Linked DNA regions of Caenorhabditis elegans. The protein of the gene in region 1 purifies or fractionates together with the protein of each later gene. This does not show direct contact. Each region holds a gene or a part of one and is shown in the gene's direction. Other genes may lie near its edges.

What was found. The genes of interacting proteins can lie anywhere in the genome.
Region 2: the proteins of jmjd-5 (region 1) and F15B9.8 fractionate together in Caenorhabditis elegans (co-fractionation; one large-scale study listed by BioGRID). This does not show direct contact.

The regions. Positions count from the first base shown.
Region 1 is NC_003283.11:11,125,131-11,131,010, forward strand, and holds jmjd-5 (JmjC domain-containing protein 5), read left to right. Parts: upstream 1-2,366; coding exon 2,367-2,517; intron 2,518-2,564; coding exon 2,565-2,644; intron 2,645-2,721; coding exon 2,722-2,852; intron 2,853-2,899; coding exon 2,900-3,004; intron 3,005-3,049; coding exon 3,050-3,140; coding exon of another isoform or gene 3,141-3,155; exon of another isoform or gene 3,156-3,234; intron 3,235-3,260; coding exon 3,261-3,551; intron 3,552-3,602; coding exon 3,603-4,043; intron 4,044-4,087; coding exon 4,088-4,369; intron 4,370-4,738; coding exon 4,739-4,903; 3' UTR 4,904-4,951; downstream 4,952-5,880. Other genes in the region: strt-7 (Phosphatidylcholine transfer protein), read left to right, coding at 134-172, 219-271, 677-1,184, 1,234-1,611, 1,658-1,750.
Region 2 is NC_003283.11:12,986,068-12,992,687, forward strand, and holds F15B9.8 (Beta/gamma crystallin 'Greek key' domain-containing protein), read left to right. Parts: upstream 1-2,488; 5' UTR 2,489-2,493; coding exon 2,494-2,571; intron 2,572-2,621; coding exon 2,622-2,706; intron 2,707-4,109; coding exon 4,110-4,226; intron 4,227-5,514; coding exon 5,515-5,645; intron 5,646-5,881; coding exon 5,882-5,977; 3' UTR 5,978-6,117; downstream 6,118-6,620.

The DNA.
Region 1 (5,880 bases):
GTGAACTGACTATAGCATAGATCAATCACTCTGATCGTTTTTTTTTCACTGACCGTACTGATCAAAATCATTTTTCAATCATTTCTTTTAGATTTACTCGAATGCAATAAAGTAAGTCTTATCAAACAAAGATATGCTGAACAGAAATTGGAGCAGTTTTTTGTTTAAACAGGTAAACAATATTTTGATTGAAGTGTGTTCAATTATAATACGTTTAGGTTGCACTGTATCGAAACTTCCGTCAAAATTGGTCACGATTCAAGACGAAAGCGTAAGTCAACTATTATGGAGTGAAGTAGGACCAAAAAAGTCTTACCAAAAAACAAAAAAACAGATTTTGATTTTGGACCAAGAACTACAAATTGGAATTTGTGACCATAAAACCCAAAAAAAGTCGATTTTCGATTTATTTTGAACTTTTAGAAAAAATCATTGAAAACCATTAAAACATATTTTGCTTAAGAAGATTTGTAAAATATGAAAAAAAAGCGTAGATTTTAGTCCAAAATTCGAAAATTCAATTTTTTCAATAAAAAAAATAAAAACCAAAAATAAAACTTTTTTTTTCGCTTCAAACATGTCTAAAAAATTAAAATTTTTTAAAACAACCAAAATAAAAACCATTTTTTGCCAAAAAATAAAAAAGGGCAGTCCTATTCAAATTATTGTTTTTTAGCGTTCTGTACTCCTACTCATTCTACCGTGGAGACCGACGTTTCGGCAAGTTTGCTCTAGCTGCATCTACAGCCGGATTCACATTTCGAGATCATGGAATCAGTGATGATCGAATCGCAGAATGTGAAAACTGTGAAGAGGAGTTTGCTCATCGAAAGACACCTGGAAAAGGATGGGAGTTGCTCTACGAAGAGAAGGATATGTTAGCATTCCGTAGACGAATTGATGGTCCATATGAGATGTATGAATACAAATGTGTTGGGACATACTATGATATCAGTCCACGAACATTTCTTGACGCTCAAAATGATTTAAAATATCGAAAAGAATGGGACGACAATATTGTGACTATCGAAGTTGTCAAAGAAGAAAATGAAAATGAGCTGATCAGATGGGTATCTAAGTTTCCATATCCAATGTATCCGAGAGAATATGTTTATGTAAGACGAACATGGGTGTCAGAAGACGAAAAATATGCAGTTTTAGATAGCGAATCAGTTCAACCTGAGGTAAGTATTTGTAACTTACGAAAAATCTTGAATAAAATTGTAAAAATAGGTGTTTCCATCAATTTCGGAGTCAAATGTCCGAGTACGATCCTACACTTCGAGAATGTCAATTCGAGCTCATTCAAATTGGGAATCGCATGGAGTTGATTACATTTTAACATATTGTGACAATCCAGAGGCTAACATTCCTCGTTACGTGTATAATTGGATGGTTAACAAAGGTGGTCCTTATTTTTTGAGACAAGTTCACAAGGCTGCTCGTGAAATTGAGAGTAGCGGACGAGAAGTACGATCTGCCACTGAGAAAGCGCTTTTGAGAAAAAACGATCGTGTTCTGCAGCGTCAAACCAAAGAAAATGAAGAAAAGGAAAAGAAACGGAATGAAGAAGAAACGAAACTCAATAATCAAGAAAATGAAGGAGAAAAAGTGAATTTAATATCTAATTATTTACGAACATACAATTATTTTCCAGAAACTTGAAAAACCACAAAAAGCTCGTTCCACAACTGCTTCAACCTCCTTCGTATTGCAATCAGAACAAGTCAATTATCAGAGAACTGCCTGATTTCTGTGCTCGTCTTTATAAACAAATCTACAGAAATACCATATTTTATTTCTTTCATGTTGAAAGACCATATATCGCTTGTCGAAAGCTCAATAGACGTTTAGTGCATTTTCTACTGAATAAGCCATCATCGTATTTTTGTTTAGTTTAATTTTGTGATATGTCTGTTTCCAAAAGGACAAGAAAAATCTTTAAAATCAGAAAGTATGTTACAAAAGAAACAAATCCAAAATGGCGTAATTCACTTAGTTTTTATGTAACCTATTTCCTGATTCCTTTTTGTAGATGATAGAGTTTTGTCGAGTTTTTGTAAAAGAAAATTTTTTTTGTCTCTTTTCCTCCTCGTATTACAATCCGTTGTCCATGATTTTTTGTTTGGTTTGGAATAATTTCCGTTGTTTTGATTATGAATTATTATTAAAAAATATATATGGGTGTTATTCTGATCTTTTTTACAAATTGGTTTCAACCACAAAATACTATTTAATGGTCTTTGGTTTTTTGGTTTGCCATACGAAAACTGAAACTTTTTTTCGTAGATAATATTATCGATAATATTTTTTAATTCTTATTACAAAATTCATATAAAAATACTTATTTAAATTGATTAGTTTAGATGGAATATAAACGATTAAAAATTGACGAGTGTCGCGACGGAGTTTTCAACATTCGTCGAAAAGTATTTATCGAAGAGCAAAACTGTCCGGAGAGCATGGAATGGGATGAGAATGAAGAACAGAGTTCTATTTACTTTGTAGCGTTCAAAGGTAATAATTATATAGGAAATTAATCAATTTAATGTTATTTTTCCTAGGAGATCTCGCTGTCGGATGTGTTCGCCTTCGAAATATCGAAAAAGATTTGCTCAAACTGGAAAGAGTTGCTGTTCTGAAAGTAATAAATCTATTATAAATTTCAAATCGATTTATCTATTTTTTTTTAAATCGATTTTATTACAATTTATTTTGTAGGAATTCCGAAGACGACGAATCGCGTCCGATCTCATCCGAGAGGCGTTGATCTATGCACAAAGTGAAAGTCCGAATTCTCCAGTTTATGCCTATGCTCAAGTATCAGCTCTGCAAGCATATGTTAATTTAGGGTAATTATACCAGATGATTTTTCTGAACTTTAGTATGTTTTGTTCAGATTCACGGTACTCTCAAAAGTATGGATAGAAGATGGAACATTTATTCCACATCAAACAATCTTCTGGGGAACTCCGATTTCAATTGATACTTTCCTCAAGAACCAGTAATTTTTTTTGTAAGATTAAAGCTGTTCAGAATTATCTTTCAGATCGGAAAAGGCTGATCCATCCTATGAAGATTACGACGCTCGTAGTCCAGCAATGCTACCAAAAATTGAAGCGTTCAAGCAGAGATTAGAGGTCAATAACTATTAATGTTTTATTTCTAAAATACGTGTTCATAGAGATTATTTGAAAAATGTGATTTTTAATTTGTCAAAATAAACATTCCACTCTTCTGAAACTTTTATTTCTTTTCAGGATCTAGATACATGGAACTTCGGAATTTTGCAAATTCATCTCGATGACCAAGTCGTTTCAAAACTAATCAGAAATTTATTCTCACGTTTTAGTACGAATGTCGATCACTTTTTAAATGGAAACACAGAATTCTCAAAAGAAATAGTCGACCAGTCTGAGTTTCTACTAAAATTGGCAGATACAAAACTGAACACAGGACATTTCAATGAAGTTGATGAGAATTGGAGAAAATTGTATTCTTTGATATGTTTCTGTCAGAGTTTCATGATGTTTAAACAGAACAAGTATGAGGTTTGTAAATTAATACTTCTTGAATTTACCATCTCACATTTAAATTTCCAGATTGCGATCAAAATTGCCGATAAAGGGCTGTGTATGGGTAGAATAGACGAAGATCTTGTTCCAATTCGACAACTAGCATGGTTAATTCATGAAAATTTACCTGGTGTGTCATCTGATGATTGGATTCATTCGAGTTTTCAGTTCAATACAACTAATACATATCCTGCCTTAATTCCACTTTCAAATTCCAAATCTATCGATGAATGTGATGAAGATGATGAAAATAGTTTTGAAAAATTAATTTCTGCCGTTCAAAATAATACACCACTGATTGTTCGGAGACATTCTTCCAATATGCCTGCCATCGAAAAATGGTCATTTCCATTTTTACTTCAAGAACTTCACAGTCGAACATTTCCTGTGGAAATTGGAACCAAATATTCAGATGAAAATTGGTCACAAAAGTTGATGACGTTCAAGGAATTTATTAGAAACTCTGAAGTTAGATATTCAAAAATCATATTAAAATTATCTGTACATTTCAGAATGAACGGCTCTATCTTGCACAACATCGCCTTTTCGATCAGGTTCCACACTTGAAACGTGACGTCATAATTCCAGATGTTTGCTTCGGGGAATCAAGTAATCCTGAAAATGTTGACATGAATATGTGGATTGGGCCACAGGATACTGTATCTCCACTCCATACAGATCCTAGAAAGAATATGTTTGTACAAGTTCATGGTACAAAACTATTTCGGATGGTGGCTCCTGAAAGTTCAGAATCAGTGTATCCATTTGATGGAATACTTTCAAATACCAGTCAAGTAAGGATACTTCTATTATGGGAACACGAAATTCTGAGAATGCGTATTGCGCAATATATTTGACAACAAAACTACAGTAACTCTTTAAATGATTACTGTAGCGCTTCTGTCGATTTACGGGCTCAATTTTTTCAATAAATTTCTTGTTCCATTTTCCTTTGTTTCTTTGTTTTATGTTATGCCTAATTTTATTCTATCAAGAAATAAATGATTTAAATTGATTTCAAGTACGTAAATCGACACAAGCGCTACAGTATTCATTTAAATAATTACTGTAGTTTTCGCTACGAGATATTTTGCGCGTCAAGTATGTTGCGCAATACGCATTCTCAGAATTATGTGTTCCAGTAATATTAAATCGAATTCCAGGTCGATGTCGAGAATCCCGATCTCAAAATATTCCCAAACTTTGAACAAGTGGAAGTCCTCGACGCCGTCATAAATCCTGGAGATGCTATATTTATTCCTGAAAAATGGTGGCATTTCGTACGCTCAACGTCTCCATCTATTTCAATATCATTTTGGTTTGATTAGCCATATGTTTCCAGACGACAAAGTTTACAAAAATAAACTATTTGGTCTTTAATTTGTTTAATACTATTCTTTTATTATACAAACAGATAGGCAATAATTAATAGATATATCGTATTTAAAAGCATAAAACCAGAAAATAAAACGTATAGGCTAGGTATTATTGAGGAACTGACATATATTTGTTCTCATGCGTGTTCATATTTCACCTCAATTCGTCTAGTCATTTCAGTTCTTATTTATTATTTGGAATGCAGCTTCACCACTCATTGTTTTCTTTTCAATACTCACCCGGAAGGCACCGCCGAGCGGAGTTGTTCAAAAATTGGTTTGGCAAAAATTTTTATACAATAAATTTTGTTTCTGTTAAATATGTGTTTTTTTTCCTTATTTTTTCTTGAGCACACACACTTTCCTAGTTAGATCTAACCTCGATTGCGCACCATAGTTTCATCTCCACCAGTCACTCTACGCTGTTGCGCTTACAAGTTGTAGTCCCCAAGTGACCCAAAGAGGAAAATTTTATCTACTGATAGATGTTCTTATCAGAAAAAGAAAACAAAAATTGACATTTAAATTGTTTAAATCTATATAAAACAACTACAGTACTCTATAACTTCATATTGCAAGTTCACGAGCAAACTTGAAAGTTGCATTTTTGTGTTCAAAAGTTTGATGAGAAACTTGAATAATTAGAAATTCGTTCCGTTTTCTGTCCAAGAATATTCTCAAACGCCTCTTCTTTTTTTCACATGTTTGCTAAACTCGTCTTCGTGGATTGGAAGGATCTTTGATTGAAAATTGGAAATAGAAATCCTAATCGAATAACTAATGTGCTGCAAAAAGATTTTGATCGTCCTAAAAAATGAATGAGAAGGAATACTATGTTTTAAATGTGATACATGTGAGATTATTCTAGTTAGTAGTTAATCCTCTCCCTGAATGAAATTCATTTGGTATTTAGACTTTACATATCATAA
Region 2 (6,620 bases), 1.9 Mb from region 1:
TTTCAGAGATGCATTACGTTTTCCGCCGTTTCATTAAACGAATGGGAGTCAAAAACTGAAAGATTGGTATCATCTCATCGATGAAATTGACAGAAAATATTCCACACGAGTAAGCTTCCCAAAACTAGAAATAGTTACTATATTTTACATTCTGATAATAGATTTTCCAATTAAAATTTTAATAATTTATTCTTTATTGATTACATTACTCAAAAACATAATTATCCCCGACCACGAGAGCTTTTTAAAACTTTGACCAAGCCGGACTGCTTATCAACTGCCGACCGGCAATTCTACAAAATCAGCTAGTGATGCTCTCTCTTTAATTAAAATTAGTAGTTTTAAAAGAAAGAAAAAATGTTTTCACCATCTGAAAATAACGTTTGTTTGATTTGGAACAACTGAAAAAGAACTCAAAAAACTAAGTAAGTAGGTTTTTTCCTGCAATTTTCAGCTTTTACACAATTTTGAGCACTTCTTCAGTTGTTTCAAATGAAACAAACTATATTTTCAGATAACGAAACAATTGTTTATACCTATGTTGTACTTTTTTGATTTTTTTACCAATAGGAATGCGTAAAGCATTTTTTTAAAGAAAAAGTCAGTCTAAAATCACAAAAAATTGAAAACTTCAATGAGGAATGATCTTTCGAATTTTATGAATTTTATGTTCGTTGATGTTTTCTTCTCAAAACTGATTTCTTAACTGTCTTATGTTCAAATCGAACACATCCAGACGTGTTCCTTATTCAACTAATCGTCATTATCCAGTTTCAGCAATGAAGTGTAATAGAGGGTGAAAAAGGCAACATCTTCGACCCGGTTATCATCATCAGCAACCCTCTTGTTTCTTTATCACCTCTATTTCTTCATTTGCCAGTGTAATGCACTTTTTCATCGATGGGCCACCGCCGACGGATCACGGCATCCGTGGCATGCATTCCTATCTCTTCAAGGATTCCCTTCCTCTTTCCACCCGCCAATAATCAACAACTTAATTTCTATTCAGACCGTACCTGTTGTTCACCTCATCCCGATTGATCTTGTCGCCAATTATCATTTTGTTTAGTTGTGTGTTGGGGAGATGGCTATACCTGAGAATTTGAATATTATGAGGGCAATGATAACGAAGAAAGGAACACATATGGAAAAAGATATAAAATACATTGAATATGGGAGGAGGAATAATTATAATAGACGAAGATTGCATCGAGGTCTTGAAATTTTGATTTTAGTTATTCAAATTTCAAAATAACAGCCATCATTTTGTCGGTTTTTCTAAGAAATGGTCTACATAGTTAAAGGTCTATTGTTTAAATAAACATTGATACTCATTTTTAATTTAATATACAAAAGTTGGAGTTTCAAAATTACAAGATTAAACAGTGGACATGGACGAAAATTGCAATCCGTGCTCATTACACTTGAAAAGCTTTTTTGAAACTTATATTAGTAAAAAGCTAGGTCCCGTACACCATTTGTAGGTGCAAATTATCTCAACTCAAATCAATCACAGGGAAAATCTTTTCGTACAGACATGAATTTTGTTCATTAAATTTGAGCCTACACCCTTTTTCTGATTGTAGCTCCCAAATGACGTGTGTGAACAAATTAAACCCTAGAACTCTGTACCATATTAGTTACAAAAAAATACTCGTTAGAATTGTCAATATGATTTTAGGCTTCTATTTGCTTCAAAAGGTCAAAATTCTATCACGTGCTTCTCAAGTCTGACCCAGAATATCTTAAAACTCTTGCTGATATCGTATCGTTTCCGCCTAGGTAAATCCACTCTCGATTTTTTATTCAAAGGATCACATCACAATGAAAAACCCTCGCACATTCTCAATATCCAATCATTAGACGGAAAAATGTGGAAAAATGCCGAAAAAATCCAGTTAGCCATGTAAATCGCGAAGGTTGATGATGCATCAAACAAGCGGACAACATTGCAAAAACTCGATTTTTTTCTCGCTTTTCCCTCAACCCATTTTATCGTTATCGACACCAGTCTCCTCATTGCGAGTGCCTCCGCCCTCCGGATGACTATTTCGGCCCCTTTCCCCCATCTTTTTGTCGACTATCCACAAATGTACAAATACATGAGATTAGATGCGTACCTTTCATCAAATTTATCCGTGATTATAACTTTTGTCGTTTTCTTTTTACTTTTTCTTATCACTTGTCCGTTCATGGAATTGGATATGAACGTACACATTTGTATTACGCAACAATATATTCTACATGTACCCGTTCCATAAGTGGTGATTATTTAGAGAAATTGTCTAGAATCTAGAACTATTAGTCACGCCTTACTGACCAGATTTAAGATACTAATGAATAAATGTGAAAGTGGTTTGATTTATTGGCATGTTTATGCCATTCACACGTCATTTCGATTTTCCCTATAAATTTGTATTCTTTTTACTATTTTCTCACATACTTATTTTTTGCTTATTTATATTTTCTGATTCCTACCCAATTTCAGAAGACATGAACCGGTGCATCTTGCTCGCTCTCTTACCCCTTATTTCAGCGATTCCAGTTGCTGTTAATATAGATGATCAAGACGTAAGTTTTTTGTTTTAGTGGTTGAAAAATAAATAGAGAATTAATTATAGGCAGTGAATTTGGGAGCTTACGATCGAGCACGATTTGATCTCGTAGAAAGTTTCCACCCTCTTCAGCCAGCTTCTGCAGTTACAAGTAAGTGAAATGTTTGCCTGGTGGAATCAATAGATATAAATTGTTTTACAATTATTTTTGAAAATAGATTATTGAAAGCATGGCACTAATGAAAAATTTAGTCTGCCGGCTGTGATAATTAATCACTTTACCGTATGCTGACACTGTAGGCAAACATTTTTACTTTCAATTTTTAGGAGAATGTCTCTAGAATACCTAGCGAGCTTTATGTAGGCACAAAATTTGTTTCTGTTTTTCAGGATAGGTTTATCACAAAATTTAAGGTATTCATTCATGTTGTTTAGTAACATTCGTTAGCGGCTAATTTTATTTTAGAAAAACTAGGAGAATGTAAAAAAACACAAAAACACCGGAAAATAAAAGATTAGGAAACTAACTTACTTACAAGGGGAATATGATATGAAATTGGCGCGGAGGGAAAGCTACTAGTTCTCAAATCATTTGAAAGTAACTCGACACCTACCTGAAGCTAAGGGACACGCTGGCTAATTGTGAACAAATATTGTTCAAAAAATTCAGTCTCATACAATTGTTTGTCAGCTTTTACTTGTTAAAAATATTGGCATGGGATTTAGTTTTCGGAGAAAGAAACACAAATAACCCATTTTGTTGAATCGTTTATTTAAGATGCCGAACACTTTTTGAAATCTTCGAGACTGTAATTATTTGATAATATGTAAACGGTCAAAATGTTTGATTTGGTTAAAAATGAACATTTTGGTGTTTATCTTAATTTTTATAAAGGCATATTATTTGCGACATATCTAGTTTTCTAATATTTCCAAGTTCCTGAAAAATGAACTGTTCTGAACGAAAAAATATTCTTAAAGGTAGATATATTGTTAAAAACAACTGCTATGATGCTAAAACGACCATTATAGCAAAACTTCCATATATCATATGAAAACTTTCCAAAAAATTTTTTTAAACATTTTTATTGACAGTCAAAAAGTGGTAATTAGTGAGTTTTCGCTACTTTTTGATAAAGTTTAAGCATTATCAAAATTTTGAATCCCTTCATTGCTTGGATATTAATATTTCAAACATAAGTAGACTGTATGTAGAATTCGAAGGAAAATTTTTGATTGACGAAATTCAAAAAACAAATGGCAAAAATTGAGATCTTCCCAATTTTTTAAAGTTTTTTGAATTTTTTATTATTATGATAGTTGATTATGGTGGTGCCACACTTCTCCATCTTTAAAATTTCAGTGCTGAACAATTCTTTAAAATTCACAGATTTCTCTAGAGTCTTTAGAGCAGAAAATAATTTGAGAAAGCACTGACGTATTATTGTCAAATGTTTGTCAATATTTTTACAGCCATAGAAAAATGTTTTAAAATCTTTAATAATGAAAAAATAAATAGTAAATTGATTTTATAAAATAGTGTGAAATTTTCAGACGATCAAATTGCTGAAGTGCGTGCCAAAGCAGCTGGTGTGAGGCAAAACGAAGCTTCAATTTCAATTGACTTGCCAACACAAATGCTTTCCGGGAGTTCGGGAAGAATTCCAGAAAGTAAGCCACTAATTGACATTTCTCTAACACGTGTGACCATATCGGAGAATAGAAAACAACAAAAATCAAGAATTATCACATAGCTGTGTGAGCTGCTCGGACATGGCTCCGTGAGAATAAGCGCGAAAGTCGTAGAAATAGACACGTTTTAACAAAATTACTCTATCGGTTAAAGAAAGCTTTGGAGCAGGGCGTCTAAACAAAGAAAGAAGGAATGGAGAAGAAGTAGGCGGCTTTGGAAAAATAATAGAGAAAAGGACGAATATTTTAAAATATTATGAGACAAACTAGGGGCGCAGGGGCAACATTCTGAATTTTTGATTGAAATTTGACGACTACTCGGAATTATCTATTAAATGATCTTCTATTAGTTATTTAAAGGATTAGTTGTTATTTTTGACATTAAAAAAAATAATCCAATTTTTAGTTTAAGAACTTGGAGAAGACTACAAGTCAAAAAAAATCGGGAAAGAATCTGCAGGGTGTGTCCTCACAGAAGATTGTTGTTAATTAGTAATCTTGAACTTTAAAATTTAAGGATTCAACCGAATCAATTTTGAAATTTTGAGACTTTTTGAAGATGGATTTTTTTGTAAGTTTGTATTATAAATCAGCAAAATCAGATTGGAAATATGTTGAAGTTTTTTTGCAACTATTTTAAAAAAATTTGAGTGGAAACTAACTGAAAAATAAGAAAAATAATTAAAGCTTATACTAATAAAAATAAAAAAAAAAAACCAAAACCTTATTTTCTGTTTAAAGTTTATCAAAATTAGGCGAATTTTATTGAATTTAGCCGAGAATTACAGACAAATTTAAAAATGAAATAATATTTTGAAACCTACTTTGGGTATTTTGAAGTTTTTATCCCAAAAAAAGAGACTTAATTTAACTTTAAGAAAAAATCACGATTTGAAATGGAATCAACGAACAGCTCTTTGGCTTCTCTATATTGAAAATTGTAGTTAACAATTTTCCGAAAACGGGATTCGTATTTATCAGAATCATATTTCTTATGATTTAGTATAATTTCTTGGAATTTACTATCAAGAAGAATACAAACACTTTATAAAATATTTATGACAGAACTGAAAGACGCATATAATATGAGATATAAAAAGAGCTAAACATGAAAGATGTATCCACTAGTAGCATCGTGTCTAATTCGATTCGATTTGCAAGTTTCAATATTTTGTTGTTGATTCCCTTGAGAGATTTGAGAGAGTCTATCACATTAGAACATTAATCTGTTCTTATCTCTTTTTCTCTTAAAATAATCACTTTTCAGGATTGGCGTTCGGAGAATGGACTGAGTGGACTTCATGGTCAATGTGCCAAAATGGAGAGAGATCAAGAGTTCGTACATGTGTTTCCAGAAAACCAGCTCTTCGTGTTGTATGCCACGGAGATGCTATTGAGGTGAGATTTTCCTTTTATATAAAATTATTCAGTGATAAGTTCATTGAAATTAGGTGGTTAACCAAAAAAGTTTTCCGCGGATCATATTTCTCCGAGTTTATACAATCTGAAGAGCAATTTTTGATGAGAAGCTTCATTTTTTTGTTGGTTTTTTGTAATAAATTTTTTTTGCAATAATTTAAAATCTGAATTATTTTCAACACGGAAGAAATTGATTTCAATTAATGTTTTTACAGATTGAGAAATGCTACGTTGACGCCGGAGAAGGTCATATTCCAGTTGCCGCCGACCCATGGTCCATCGAACGTGAGATTAGCGGAGATTTTGCCTAAATCCGAACAATTTCCGAAGAGAGGAGCACAGAGACCTCTTATTTAATAATTCATTCATTTTCTCACAGTCAGTTCTCGAATTGTATGCACTAATTGTTATTTTCGTTTTCCAATTCAATCTAATAATAATTTATTTATTTATTGTTTTTTTTTTTGACACTGCAAGAGAGGTCTCAAATGGGACCTACAGGAAAAATTGAATCGGTATTAATTTTTCAAATGCTCATTAATGGGAATAACACAATAATGACAATTATGAGAATTTTATTATTAATTTGAATTCACAAATTGTTATTGAAAATTTATAAGTTTTGTTGAAATATACTCACTATCAAAATAGTAAAAACAGAGAAAATTAAGGCATTTGTCATGTTTGAACCCCTAAAATGCTTAGGTACAATATTAGAACATGCTTCAACTATTTTTAAAAATTCAAAAATGTTCGAGCAGTTTTAATATTAAAAACAATGCAACATTAAGCAAATTTTTAGAATAATTTCTCCCCACTACTCCACGTTAAATTTAAAGTGAAATTTCAAAATTTGACTCAAATAAATGAAACTCCTACATTTAATTTTAGAAAGATCATAATTGTTTGAACGAAGTTCAAATTTTTCAAAACATTTATTTTCAAATTTCAGAA